4 linked regions of the Macaca mulatta genome follow. The protein of the gene in region 4 purifies or fractionates together with the protein of the main gene of each other region. This does not show direct contact. Links are inferred from orthologs where the notes say so. Each region holds a gene or a part of one and is shown on either strand. Other genes may lie near its edges.

Region 1 (3,219 bases), on a different chromosome or scaffold from region 4:
TTCATTTTGGTGTGTGCAATGAGGTAGGGATCCAGTCTAAATTTTCCCCAAATGGCTACACCATTTCTTGAATAACCCCATTGATTTGAAACGCGGCGCTCCTGTATTTCTCCACATCATTTAGTCCCTATCTTATAGCAAAAAATACACTACTTTTCTTAGGAAGCCTGGGTCAGCAGGCAAACTGTGTGATGATGTAATGGCATAAGTTGGCAGAATCTTTGGATAGGATGGCAGTGATCAAAATGTAGAGGTGACTGGGGCATAGTGGTCCACTATGGGGTAAAAGTTTGGGAGATCAACAGGAGTGGACTTTTCCTATTGTCTGAAAATTATTTCAAGACACCTACATTTTACAGTCACCAGAAAACATACAGTGGTGAGATTTTATACCCACTTCACCTTGGGGCCTCCCAACTTTTGATGTAAGGGCCAAGTCAAACCATGAATGACAGGAATCTGCGCAGAACCACAAATAACTCACGGGAGTCCCATCATTCTTTGCTCACATTTAATTTTTATTTTGATTTTTTTTAATGCTGCACAACACAATATTTATTTCATTTGTTTCTTTTATTTCATTTTGTTTGTTTGCTGCTGTTGTTTTATTTATTTTTATTGAAAGTCAGAGGGAACTTCTGTGGCCTTTTCTCCTTTTTCTGTAGGCCGCCTTAAGCTTTCTAAATTTGGAACATCTAAGCAAGCTGAAGGGAAAAGGGGGTTTCGCAAAATCACTTGGGGGAAGGGAAAGGTTGCTTTGTTAATCATGCCCTATGGTGGGTGATTAACTGCTTGTACAATTACGTTTCACTTTTAATTAATTGTGCTTAAGGCTTTAATTAAATTTGGGGGTTCCCTTCTTAGAGCAGCTCGTACTGACGAAGGTGCATGCGCTGAATGATGTCACGGCAGTCGTTGAACACACGGCGGATGTTCTCAGTGTCCACAGCGCAGGTGAAGTGAGGGTAGCAGTAGTGACGCCCATCTCCACTGGCAGTGCTGATCCTCTGCGGGTACAAACGCAGGGACTCGTCAGTGACACCCTCGCCAGGAACCACCCTATCACTGATGGGGACACCTACCAGGGACGGCTGTTGGCCAGTCTCTGATGTCATATGAAAACGAAAGCAAAAGGAGGGGTGCAAAGAACTCAAATCCACACTGGATGTGCGTGAACTAAAACCATGGACCTGGGTAGCTGAACCCCTGAAGTAAATTTACATCCATGAGAAAAAGAGGAGGAGCAAGAGAGGAAACTAAAGACAGGCTCAACTCACCAGAAACTCATCTCGAATGAAGTACTTGGCCCGGGTCACGCGTGGGTCCTCTCCGGGCTCGGGAGTAGCTATAAAAAAAAGGGAATATATATTAATGTAATTAAAAAGTCAAGCAGAGCTGGGGTGCTAGCATCATTGTAGCTCCTGAAGTCTTCAAAACCCTGATTTTTCCATATGAGAATTAATGCAAGTGTGTTTTTCTTGCTTCTCTTACAGATGCTTTATGGTTTGGTGGTGGGAGGGGGATGGCGGCTTTCAGCCCTACTGTTTGAAAAAGAACCACTGCAATGAACAGCCAGCAAAAGAGTGGAAGCCATACACACCATCCTCAGGAGTAGTGTAGCGAGCAAATTCTGGAAAGTAGTCCTCAATCTTCGATTTCCCAGCAAGGACTTTCTCAGCGAGCAGATCTTGCTTGTTGAGGAACAGAATCACAGAGATGGTGCGCAGCCATCTACAAGAAGGGAGGCCGTGTGAATGCCCGGGAGAAGCGCGCTTTTGGCCAGGGGTCTGGAATGCTTGCACAGGGTTCTTTTCTACAAACAGTGCAGACCAGGGCCTCCTGGGCAAGCGCAGGGGGTGGGCGGTCACTCCACAAACCTGTTGTTCCAGATGCTCTTGAAGAGGTTCAGAGCCTCCTGCAGGCGGTTGGTCTGGTTGTCCTCCCGGATGACCATGTTGTAGCTGCTGCTGGCCACCACGAAGATGATGGCAGTCACATCTTAACCAAAGAAAGCAAAGCCAAGAGCGTGAGCAGCGACACTGATCCCTAACAACACAGAAGCAAAGCGTTCTTCACGAACAGCCAAGCCCACAGCGTCCTACCATTGAAGCACTGGATCCACTTGCGGCGTTCATCGCGCTGGCCACCCACGTCAAACATGCTGGTGGAGAGGAAGACAGCTGGTTATTCCAGAGGGGCTGGGGTAAATGTCAAGAAACCATGATCTCTGTTATATAAAAAGGTAACAGTGGGCTTACTGGAAGTTGACTTTGTCCACCTGGAACTTGGTCTCGAAGATTCCAGAAGTCAGGACGCGGCAGCGAAGCAGGTCCTAGAACAAAATTGAGGTCAATGGATCTCAGCAAAGCCAATCGAAATAGTAATAATTTCCAATCTAAAGCAAAAGTCTGGGGTAGTTTGGGAAGAGGGCTCAGGGTCCTCTGGTGGTGAAGGGTTTTGCACACCTGGTCGCTCGGCACATAGTCAGCCTGCTTGATCACATCGATCTTGTCCAGGAAGCTGGGAGAAAAAGAAAGGCACATGGGGTGTTCACAGCGTTCACATTAATTTGCCAACTATTTGTGTCTCTCTACAAGGTCAGGCTCAACGGAAGTGACCGTCCCACAGTTATGCAGCACTAAGTCAATGGCATATTTGCTTGTGTGTTGGTTACATTTATAACTCAAAGCTGATGCCTTAAGAAAGTTAGGCCAAATGGGATTTAAGATAAATAATTTTAGGAATCAGGGAACTCTAGATGCGTCTAGCAGCTAGCCTGCGGCCTCGGTGCAGTGGGGCCACACAAACAGCACAGGACAGTGGTGGGGCTTTGTTCTTCATGTTTATTTTTTTCTATTTTTCTTTTTTCTTCTTTACTTAGCTTGTTTATTCCTGTTGCTCTCTGGTAATATTCTTGATTTTTAAAAGGTTTTATGCATATCAACCAGTAGAGAAAGGACCCCAAAACCAGGCTGACCTATCACAATCTGTGCCATTTGGTAATGCTTGACAAAAACATTTCAATTTTCAAATTTCCTGCCTAAAATGGCAGTTTGAAAATTGTATACCTCTGTATCATTCAGTTAAAAAAATAAATAAATAAAGTGACATTCTTAAAAACATCAAGGACTTTCTCCTCAAGGGCACATGAGATTGTTTTAGTTACTGAGAATCTGTAGCCCTTCCTTTTCACTTTTTAAGAATCTCATTGATTAAAGG
Region 2 (2,274 bases), on a different chromosome or scaffold from region 4:
CTTGAACCCGGGAGGCGGAGGTTGCGATGAGCCGAGATCACACCACTGCACTCCAGCCTGGCAACAGAGCAACACTCTGCCTCGAAGAAAAAAAAAAAAAAGAATGCCAGGGGCATAAGAGACTTTAACTGGATCATGCCTACTCTTCAGACATTTTAGGAAGTGCTGTGCCCAGCCTGGTAACCAGCCAGTACGAGGGCCACAGAGTCCCTAGACCTTCTGCCCAAAAGCCATCAGTACAGTGTTGGGTCATGACCTGGTGTGGATGGCACAGCTCTCTGGTGTGCTTCTTTCCCAGCAACCCCAACTAGCATCTCTCTGACATTGGACCCAGTCTGCTCCCAGAGCTCCACATCAGAGGAAAAGCTGCTGCTGTTATTCAGCCATAAAGATGGCCAGGTTCCCCAGCCTTTGACCCTGGTCCCTTTTGAAGACTCCTGGAACAGTCAAGCTGGAATCTTGAAACTTTAGGAAAGCTTTGCAGTGTATGGGTGGAGGAAAAGGCTTGGAATGTTAAGGAACTGATATAAACTCAGTTAATTGGCACATAGCTGAGGCGGCTGGTATCCAGATTTCTTAATTGAAAATCCAGTGTGTTACTTAAACAAGCAGGGTGCCAACAGAAGTGAGATCAAGCTCTTCATTTGGGAATAGTATGGCATAAGACTATTAAAATGGCTACATAACATCCTAATGGTGGCTCTGAGAAATCTGAACAGAGATCCTTGATCCAGGCATCCATCTCCTTCCAGCAGTGGCATGTACTGACTTCTTGTTTTCCCAGCCTGAACTGACATCAACTCCCAATTTCGTGGTTGAAGTTATAAAGAATGATGGCAAGAAGGCCCTTGTGCTGGACTGTCATTATCCAGAGGATGAGGTATGTAGGATGGAGTGCTAGCCCCTTGGCACCCCTGGGGAGCACAGCGTGTCCCTTGGGAACTTCCTGTCCCTTTTAGCATAAATTTAAAGACTTTCTAGCTTAGACCAGCCCAGCAGGGGGAGAGGGGAGGGGAGTGAGGGAAGAGGGTTAAAACCTGATCAGTTTCATGCTGTCAGCAGCCCCCTTTCTTCGCATGAGTCTGGCTTATCCTGGAGAACCCTTCAGTTTCCCCAAATATTGTTTCTTCTCAGGTTGGACAAGAAGACGAGGCTGAGAGTGACATCTTCTCTATCAGGGAAGTTAGCTTTCAGTCCAGTGGCGAGTCTGAATGGAAGGATACTAATTACACACTCAACACAGATTCCTTGGACTGGGTGAGTGCTTGATAAGATGGGGGAACCTTTTGGGCCGTGGAAGGAAGGGTCCTAGTTCAAGGGGAGAAAGAAACATTTTAATGTTCATTACAGATTTTTTTTTGTTTTTAAACTAGTAAATGTTGTTCTTTGCAGGCCTTATATGACCACCTAATGGATTTCCTTGCGGACCGAGGGGTGGACAACACTTTTGCAGATGAGTTGGTGGAGCTCAGCACAGCCCTGGAGCACCAGGAGTACATTAGTTTTCTTGAAGACCTCAAGAGATTTGTCAAGAGCCAGTAGAGCAGACAGACGCTGAAAGCCTTAGTTTCATGGCAGGCTCTGGCCAGTGAACAAGTCCTACTCTGAAGCTAGACATGTGCTTTGAAATGATTATCGTCCTAATATCATGGGGAAAAACACCAAATTTAAATTATATGTTTTGCGCTCTCATTATCATTTTTCCTGTACAAATCTATTATTTCTAGATTTTTGTATAACATGATAGACATAAAATTGGTTTATCTCCTCCAAAGCAGTGTATCTATTCTATTCCTCCCGCTTCAACCTGCGTCACAAAAGACCAAGAACAGAGATGTCGGAAAAGTTTTTTTTCCTTCAGGATCGGTTAAAAGTTTCGATACAAAATAAGTTATAAATAAAAGGCTTGTATGTACAAGGCTCCTCAGGGAGTGAGTGGTCTTCAACCCGTAGAATGATGTGAGTCCACGCTGGCTCTAGAGGATCACAGCCCAGGTATCACAGGCCTAGGTTTAAACAGGAGAAGAATTAGCTTAAATTGTATTCTAGTCATGAAAGACATGTGATACATCGTTAAAAGTTGTAATCAATGAGAATGCTACACATTAGATGAGGTCTCCTGAGTCTAGTTTGAATTAGTTAGGTCGTGTAATTTGTCATGAAGGCCACCGACGACTGCCCCTCTTTGGCTTTGCTGGACCTCTGTCCTGCAGCCTTCAAACAGCTGTCTGGAAACCGTCAGCACCAACAGTCTTCAAGCTAAGATCAAATCTG
Region 3 (3,500 bases), on a different chromosome or scaffold from region 4:
GCAAGAGAATGTCATCTAGAACACACTTCCAGTAACATTCTATAAAACAAAACTTTATTTTCCACAGATCAAGAAGACTTGAAGCTGCCTGAACCTTGGTGAGGATGGGAGTTTCTGAGCGGTGCACGGGCTGTGTGCCCGCAAGTTCTGACCGTGGAAGAGCTGGCTTCCCTCAAGCCCAGAAAGGAAAGTGACATGCAATCTTGTTGTTTTCTTGGGAGCATGGGTCTTTTTCCTTTTTACCTAATTAGACAGAAGTTCAGGAATTTCTATTTCTTTTGGGTTGATGAAATACAGGCTAGCATGAGTCCACTGTCAATAAATGTTTGCTGTGGTCAGACCTCCATGAAAGAGATTTTCCCCATGTTCAGAAGTACCCTGAAGCTTAGGTTTTTAGAGAATACTGTTGAATCACTAGGCAGGGCTCACATAGGAAACTGGCAATCATCTCTGAAACTGCCTCACAGACACCTGCTTTTTCTGCTCTGTTCCTCAGACCTCTCCTCTTCAAGTATATTCCCCCCACAACAAGGACAGCAGCTTAGACTACGTATCTGACTGATGATGTCATAAAAAGATTAGGCATGGGGGTTTCCCAAGCCACAATTCAGGGCCACTCTGCACCAACAGAGATAAGCACCCAGGTGGGAGCCCCCCTTCCCCGAGCCTCATACATTGTCATCATCCTCTATGGCCTCCCCAGTGAAGTACAGCACAGCCCGCGGGACTATCCGCTCACGGAAAAAGTGTCCAATTTCAAAATCAGAGGCTAATGTGAATTCAGAATCTTCATCCTGAGGAGGAAAAACCCACGTGTTAACTCATTTTAATGGGATAAAAACATTTGCTTCACCACCCTCAGCTAAACCTCAGCCCCTCACTTACGATTTACTTGACTTAAAACACCAAACTCCTGCACTGCTAGGGGACAGCCACTAGATACTCAAAGCCCTTTTAAAACAACTGCAAGTAGCTTTAAAGAGCTACTGAAGCAAAATGGCAGAGCAAGTGGGAATTGAGGGCCTCACAGCTCCATCACCTGTCCAAAGGTCTCACTCAGAGTAGGGGGTATCAGAGTCTCACACATGGGGAACGGGCAGTATTAAAGCACTACACGTTTGCTACTGAAACCAACATATGAAACACGTACTTTTACTTTTCTATCACCCAGGTTGGAGTGCAGTGGTGCAATCACAGCTCACTATAGCCTCAAGCTCCTGGGCCCCAGTGACCCTGGAACTACACAGTGCACCACCACGTCCAGCTAATTTATTATTTTATCTTTTGAGACGGAATCTCCCTCTGTCACCCGATGGAATACAGTGGTGCGATCTCAGCTCACTGCAACCTCCTCCTCTCGGGTTCAAGTGATTCTCCTGCTTCAGCCTCCCAAGTAGCTGAGATTATAGGCACTGCCAACATGTCCAGCTAATTTTTGTGTGTGTGTGTGTGTGTGTGTGTGTGTGTGTGTGTGTATTTTAAGCAGAAACGGGGTTTCACCATGTTGGCCAGACTGGTTTGAACTCCTGACCTCTGGTGATCCACCCACCTTGGCCTCCCAAAATGCAGGGATTACAGGTGTGAGTCACTGTGTTCGGCCAGTTAATTTATTTGATTTTAATTTTTTGTAGAGATGGGGCTGTGCTATGTTGCCCAGGCTGGTCTCAAACTCCCGGACTCACGCAGTCCTTCCACCTCAGCCTCCCAAAGCATTAAGATTACAGGCATACGCAGTCCATACACAGCCAGGACTGGACTTTTTATTTATTTATTTTTTTTTTTTTTTTTTGGAGACGGAGTCTCGCTCTGTCGCCCAGGCTGGAGTGCAGTGGCCGGATCTCAGCTCACCGCAAGCTCCGCCTCCCGGGTCTACGCCATTCTCCTGCCTCAGCCCGCTGGGACTACAGGCGCCCGCCACCTCGCCCGGCTAGTTTTTTGTATTTTTTAGTAGAGACGGGGTTTCACTGTGTTAGCCAGGATGGTCTCGATCTCCTGACCTCGTGATCCGCCCGTCTCGGCCTCCCAAAGTGCTGGGATTACAGGCTTGAGCTACCGCGCCCGGCCAGGACTGGACTTTTTTAAACAAGCAGACAAGTAGACATTCACTCAGGAGAGACTTCAACAGCAAAATCAGACTAGTAACAACAAATCTTACCAGTGATTCTCCATCCCCGGATGCTAGGAAAAAAAAAAAAAAGACAAAACATATTTAAGTTACAGTGACAAGTCCCAGAATTTTAAAGCCCACACAGGAGTAAGTTGTGCTGGTAGACAAAATGTAACATTTTTCACCTTGAGGTTTAAACTAGAAATCCCCAAAGCCTTGCATCTCCTGACAGACATCGTCGCAAGCTCCATCCACCACTTCTGAAGCTGGCCTGAGTGCCTCTATGCCCCCCTCCCCTCTCCTCCATCACGTGCCATGGGCTGGCACTCAAGCTTGAGAAAATCATTTTGAGAGGGTTAATATATTAACAGGAGGAAAGGCAAACAGCCCCTAGGCTATGGCCATGTGGCCATTCAGTGCATTTGTGCTTTATGGAGAAATTTAACTCATGTCCTGCAGAACTATACATGATGGTGCAGGAGAGAAAGAGAAAGTCCTTAAGCCTTATAAGCTGTAAGTGTTACTAAGGCACTGCATCTCGGCGAGGCAGAAACTGCATTTCTAACTGGAGAGTGCTGAAATGCCCACCAGTGCCCCCGTAGAGTGGCGCAGCTCCTCAGTGAAAGCTGATGCTTGGATGAGCTAAGCACACCAAGACAGACAGGGACTTCTAACCACACTCAATGAAGCCATGCAACATTCAAATGGTACACGATCCAACCCCCTGATTTTAGAGACATTTACTACAAGACCCTGACCTTCATCAGGAGTTGAATGTTTACTCTACTTAGTCTCATACCTGCCTTTTCAATCTTCACTGGGCTCTTCTGAGTCTCTCTTCCCATTAAGTGACCACAACCCTGGCAGCACTTGCTGTTTGCTGCTGAGACATGAGCGTTGGGTGTGTAAACACCACCCATGAGCAAGGCAAAGCTCCCAAGCCTCGGTGTGCCAGCATCACCCGGGGGTTTAAGACATGGGTTAGGGGCATGGCTGGGTGTCTAAACGCTGGAGCAGCATGCTCCCCAGGGCACTCTGGCCGGGGTCATGAATCAGCACAAGGATTCTCAGCACTCATACTTCTGGACTGGCTTTGTAGCTTTAAGGACAAAGACAGAGCTGGACTCACTAGCTAATGCCTCCTTCACTTCATACCACAGGAGTTCATTTTGTCTGTTCCTTCACTACCCCATTACCTACTCCCTGCCCATCCTCAATTTTTTTCTTTTTTTTTTTCTTTTTTTTTTTTTTGAGACGGAGTCTCGCTCTGTAGCCCGGGCTAGAGTACAGTGGCCGGATCTCAGCTCACTGCAAGCTCCGCCTCCCGGGTTTACGCCATTCTCCTGCCTCAGCCTCCCGAGTAGCTGGGACTACAGGCGCCCGCCACCTCGCC
Region 4 (2,417 bases):
CTCCCTTGCAGAACTGGTCTCAAGACAAATGTTGAGGTACATGTAACAGATCAGGAAACATGTGCTGCTTCTGTTTCCCATCACCACCCAAGGAATAATCCACCACCTGCATACACGCAAATATGCAAATACATACACACATAGACACATGCATGCAGGCACCATGGCTTTATCACTCAGTTCTGAAATAGGCCAAATGCATGGAACACATGAACACCAGACAGATACTTACTTCTGCTTCACAAACTCATCAGTGATGAGTTTCTTCACGTCCCCAAAGAGTGAATGATGTATCCTGAGAGAAGAAAAAGAAAAATAAATAAACAAATACATTCACTCAAGGTTGTGACACTTCCCAGATGTGGGCAGAGGCATTTCCAAGATAGAAAAGAGGTTTCCAGCACAAGAGGGAAGCTCCATAGAAGCCCAAGAGACACTGATAGAGGGAGCAGAGAGTTCAGGCCCATCATCCACCCAGGTCAGAACCCTGGGCCCTCTACCCAGTCCAGCACCCCACCCGCTCCACCAGACCACCAGACTGATGCAATCCTAGGACCATCCTCTCTTGCCAAAGGACAACACGGACAGCAAGCGCTGAGAGAGCCCAATCATACCCAGGGCGCAGCCCCAACTTGCGCAGCACCTCCCAGATGACAGCTGCGAGGGGAGGCAAGAGGAGACAGGGACAGAAATTGAACACATGGAATCCAGACCATGGCCACCCATTCAGCTGCATGCCCAGCCACTCACCCTCACTGGACCGATTTCCATTCATGAAGATGATGCTAAGAAGCACCATGAGCAGACCCAGCTTGGGTGAGTCCTTAGTCCTAGAGAAATAACAGGACAGAGAGGTTTATGTCCAGCAGCCACCACAGACACACCAGCCAGCTCACTAGGCTAGCCTCTCCCAGATGCCTCAGATACAGAATTCTGCCCAGTCTCTGCTGCCAGCTCTATGCCACCCTGGGCAAGGCACTTAGACTTGCAAGCCTCAGTTTACTATTCAGTAAAATAGAAAAATCATATTCTCCCTTCCCTGGGTTTCCAAGAAGACGGAAGAATGGCTGTCAACCTGGTACAACACAAGCACTCAGTCCATGTGAATCCCTTCTTTCTCTCCCAGAACCTTCAGCCCCACTGACACTCCTGCGCTTCATGCATCCTGATCCACCCACACCAGGAAGCCCTCCTTGAGAACCACTCTGCCAAGGCCAGGCCAGGCACCCAGTAGGAAGAGGCAAGCAATGACAGGCCTGCTTTCCTGGGAAGCTTCTACAGAAACAGCAAAGCTGACAGCAGGAATGTCCCACCTCAGGCTCCTACACCCTTCAGTCAATCATAATCAGGCATCACTACTGTGAGCAGGGCTCCATCTATGCATGGGAACTGGGACGGGGCTTTTGAGTCCCTGCCTTTCCTGACTCTCTAAGAGGATGGGGGAAGTAGGACAAAGAAGGGGTAGCAGCACATGGCCAATGCAGAAGCCCCCCACACCTCAGCCCTTTCCCAGCTTACGTTCCCAGTATGCCCGCATCAGTGGGCTCCAAGGTGCTGAGAAGAATGTACAAGTGGTCATTCTTATCAATTTCCTTCAATTGAATCCCAAATACCTGTGGATGGGAAGAACAGCTTGTGAGATGACAAAATTCAGCTTCTGGGGCATGCTGCAGCTCCCTATGTACCTAGGAGTTTTGCATGTGTGAGAAATCAGTGAGGTAATGCACACAAAGTACATAGCTAAGTGCCTGGCACCCAGTAAACATGCAGCAAATGTACTATTGTCATCATCGTCTTTGCGATGAGTGGGAATCTAGGGAGACAGAGAATGGGGAATGAAAGGGAGAGGTGAAATCTGAAATACATGGCATGAGCTGTGGACAGAAGCCAGGACTAAGTTGGGTGTCTTGGGTCCTAACTGTACTTTTACCATTGACTTGCTGTGTGACCCATCGCTCATCTACACCCCTCCCTAGGCCATTGTCTGCCCCTCAGCATAGTGATGGAGCTAGATTAGCAGGTCTCTCTGGTTCCCCTGAGAAGGAACTTGCACATTTTTGTTCAATTCAAGGCTTCCCCACTGTGCCCATCCCCCAGGGCTGCCCCTTCACCTTCTCCAAGGAATAGCCTGCTCGTTCAATGATTTCAGGGTACACATCAGTGTATTCTTTGATGATGTCCTTCAGCATGTCTGCAAGGGGAAAGTGGTGTAAGCACCTGACTGAAGAGATGCCAGGTGGCCCTGATGCCCAAGCTATAGACTCTTTGCCAACCACACCAAGGGTGGCATAACCAGGTTCTGCGCTTATCAACAGAGATGCTAGCACCGCCAAATTAGAACTTTGGGAGGACAGAGATATAAGCATAAGAGCAGCAGATATCCCCAGCACAATGATGCAAGGGCAATGGAGGGCAGA

Evidence for each region. The genes of interacting proteins can lie anywhere in the genome.
Region 1: the proteins of MAGED2 (region 4) and guanine nucleotide-binding protein G(s) subunit alpha isoforms XLas purify together in Homo sapiens (affinity purification with mass spectrometry; 3 studies listed by BioGRID, counting the BioPlex papers as one, with this or other methods). This does not show direct contact. The link is inferred for Macaca mulatta from reciprocal best matches to the Homo sapiens genes MAGED2 and GNAS.
Region 2: the proteins of MAGED2 (region 4) and C1QBP purify together in Homo sapiens (affinity purification with mass spectrometry; 3 studies listed by BioGRID and IntAct, counting the BioPlex papers as one, with this or other methods). This does not show direct contact. The link is inferred for Macaca mulatta from reciprocal best matches to the Homo sapiens genes MAGED2 and C1QBP.
Region 3: the proteins of MAGED2 (region 4) and NAP1L4 purify together in Homo sapiens (affinity purification with mass spectrometry; 3 studies listed by BioGRID and IntAct, counting the BioPlex papers as one, with this or other methods). This does not show direct contact. The link is inferred for Macaca mulatta from reciprocal best matches to the Homo sapiens genes MAGED2 and NAP1L4.

The regions. Positions count from the first base shown.
Region 1 is NC_133415.1:111,699,117-111,702,335, reverse strand, and holds the end of guanine nucleotide-binding protein G(s) subunit alpha isoforms XLas, read right to left. Parts: exon of another isoform or gene 2,521-3,219; coding exon 2,466-2,520; exon of another isoform or gene 2,333-2,465; coding exon 2,259-2,332; exon of another isoform or gene 2,162-2,258; coding exon 2,103-2,161; exon of another isoform or gene 1,999-2,102; coding exon 1,878-1,998; exon of another isoform or gene 1,732-1,877; coding exon 1,601-1,731; exon of another isoform or gene 1,494-1,600; intron 1,346-1,493; coding exon 1,278-1,345; intron 1,008-1,277; coding exon 861-1,007; 3' UTR 501-860; downstream 1-500. UniProt on the Homo sapiens protein: Guanine nucleotide-binding proteins (G proteins) function as transducers in numerous signaling pathways controlled by G protein-coupled receptors (GPCRs).
Region 2 is NC_133421.1:6,934,872-6,937,145, reverse strand, and holds the end of C1QBP (complement component 1 Q subcomponent-binding protein, mitochondrial), read left to right. Parts: intron 1-46; exon of another isoform or gene 47-190; intron 191-784; coding exon 785-880; intron 881-1,134; coding exon 1,135-1,257; intron 1,258-1,392; coding exon 1,393-1,542; 3' UTR 1,543-1,774; downstream 1,775-2,274.
Region 3 is NC_133419.1:2,859,965-2,863,464, forward strand, and holds part of NAP1L4 (nucleosome assembly protein 1-like 4), read right to left. Parts: intron 2,179-3,500; coding exon 2,156-2,178; intron 795-2,155; coding exon 675-794; intron 1-674. UniProt on the Homo sapiens protein: Acts as a histone chaperone in nucleosome assembly.
Region 4 is NC_133426.1:54,650,499-54,652,915, reverse strand, and holds part of MAGED2 (melanoma-associated antigen D2), read right to left. Parts: intron 2,192-2,417; coding exon 2,112-2,191; intron 1,614-2,111; coding exon 1,519-1,613; intron 831-1,518; coding exon 751-830; coding exon of another isoform or gene 714-750; intron 658-713; coding exon 615-657; intron 296-614; coding exon 233-295; intron 1-232. UniProt on the Homo sapiens protein: Regulates the expression, localization to the plasma membrane and function of the sodium chloride cotransporters SLC12A1 and SLC12A3, two key components of salt reabsorption in the distal renal tubule.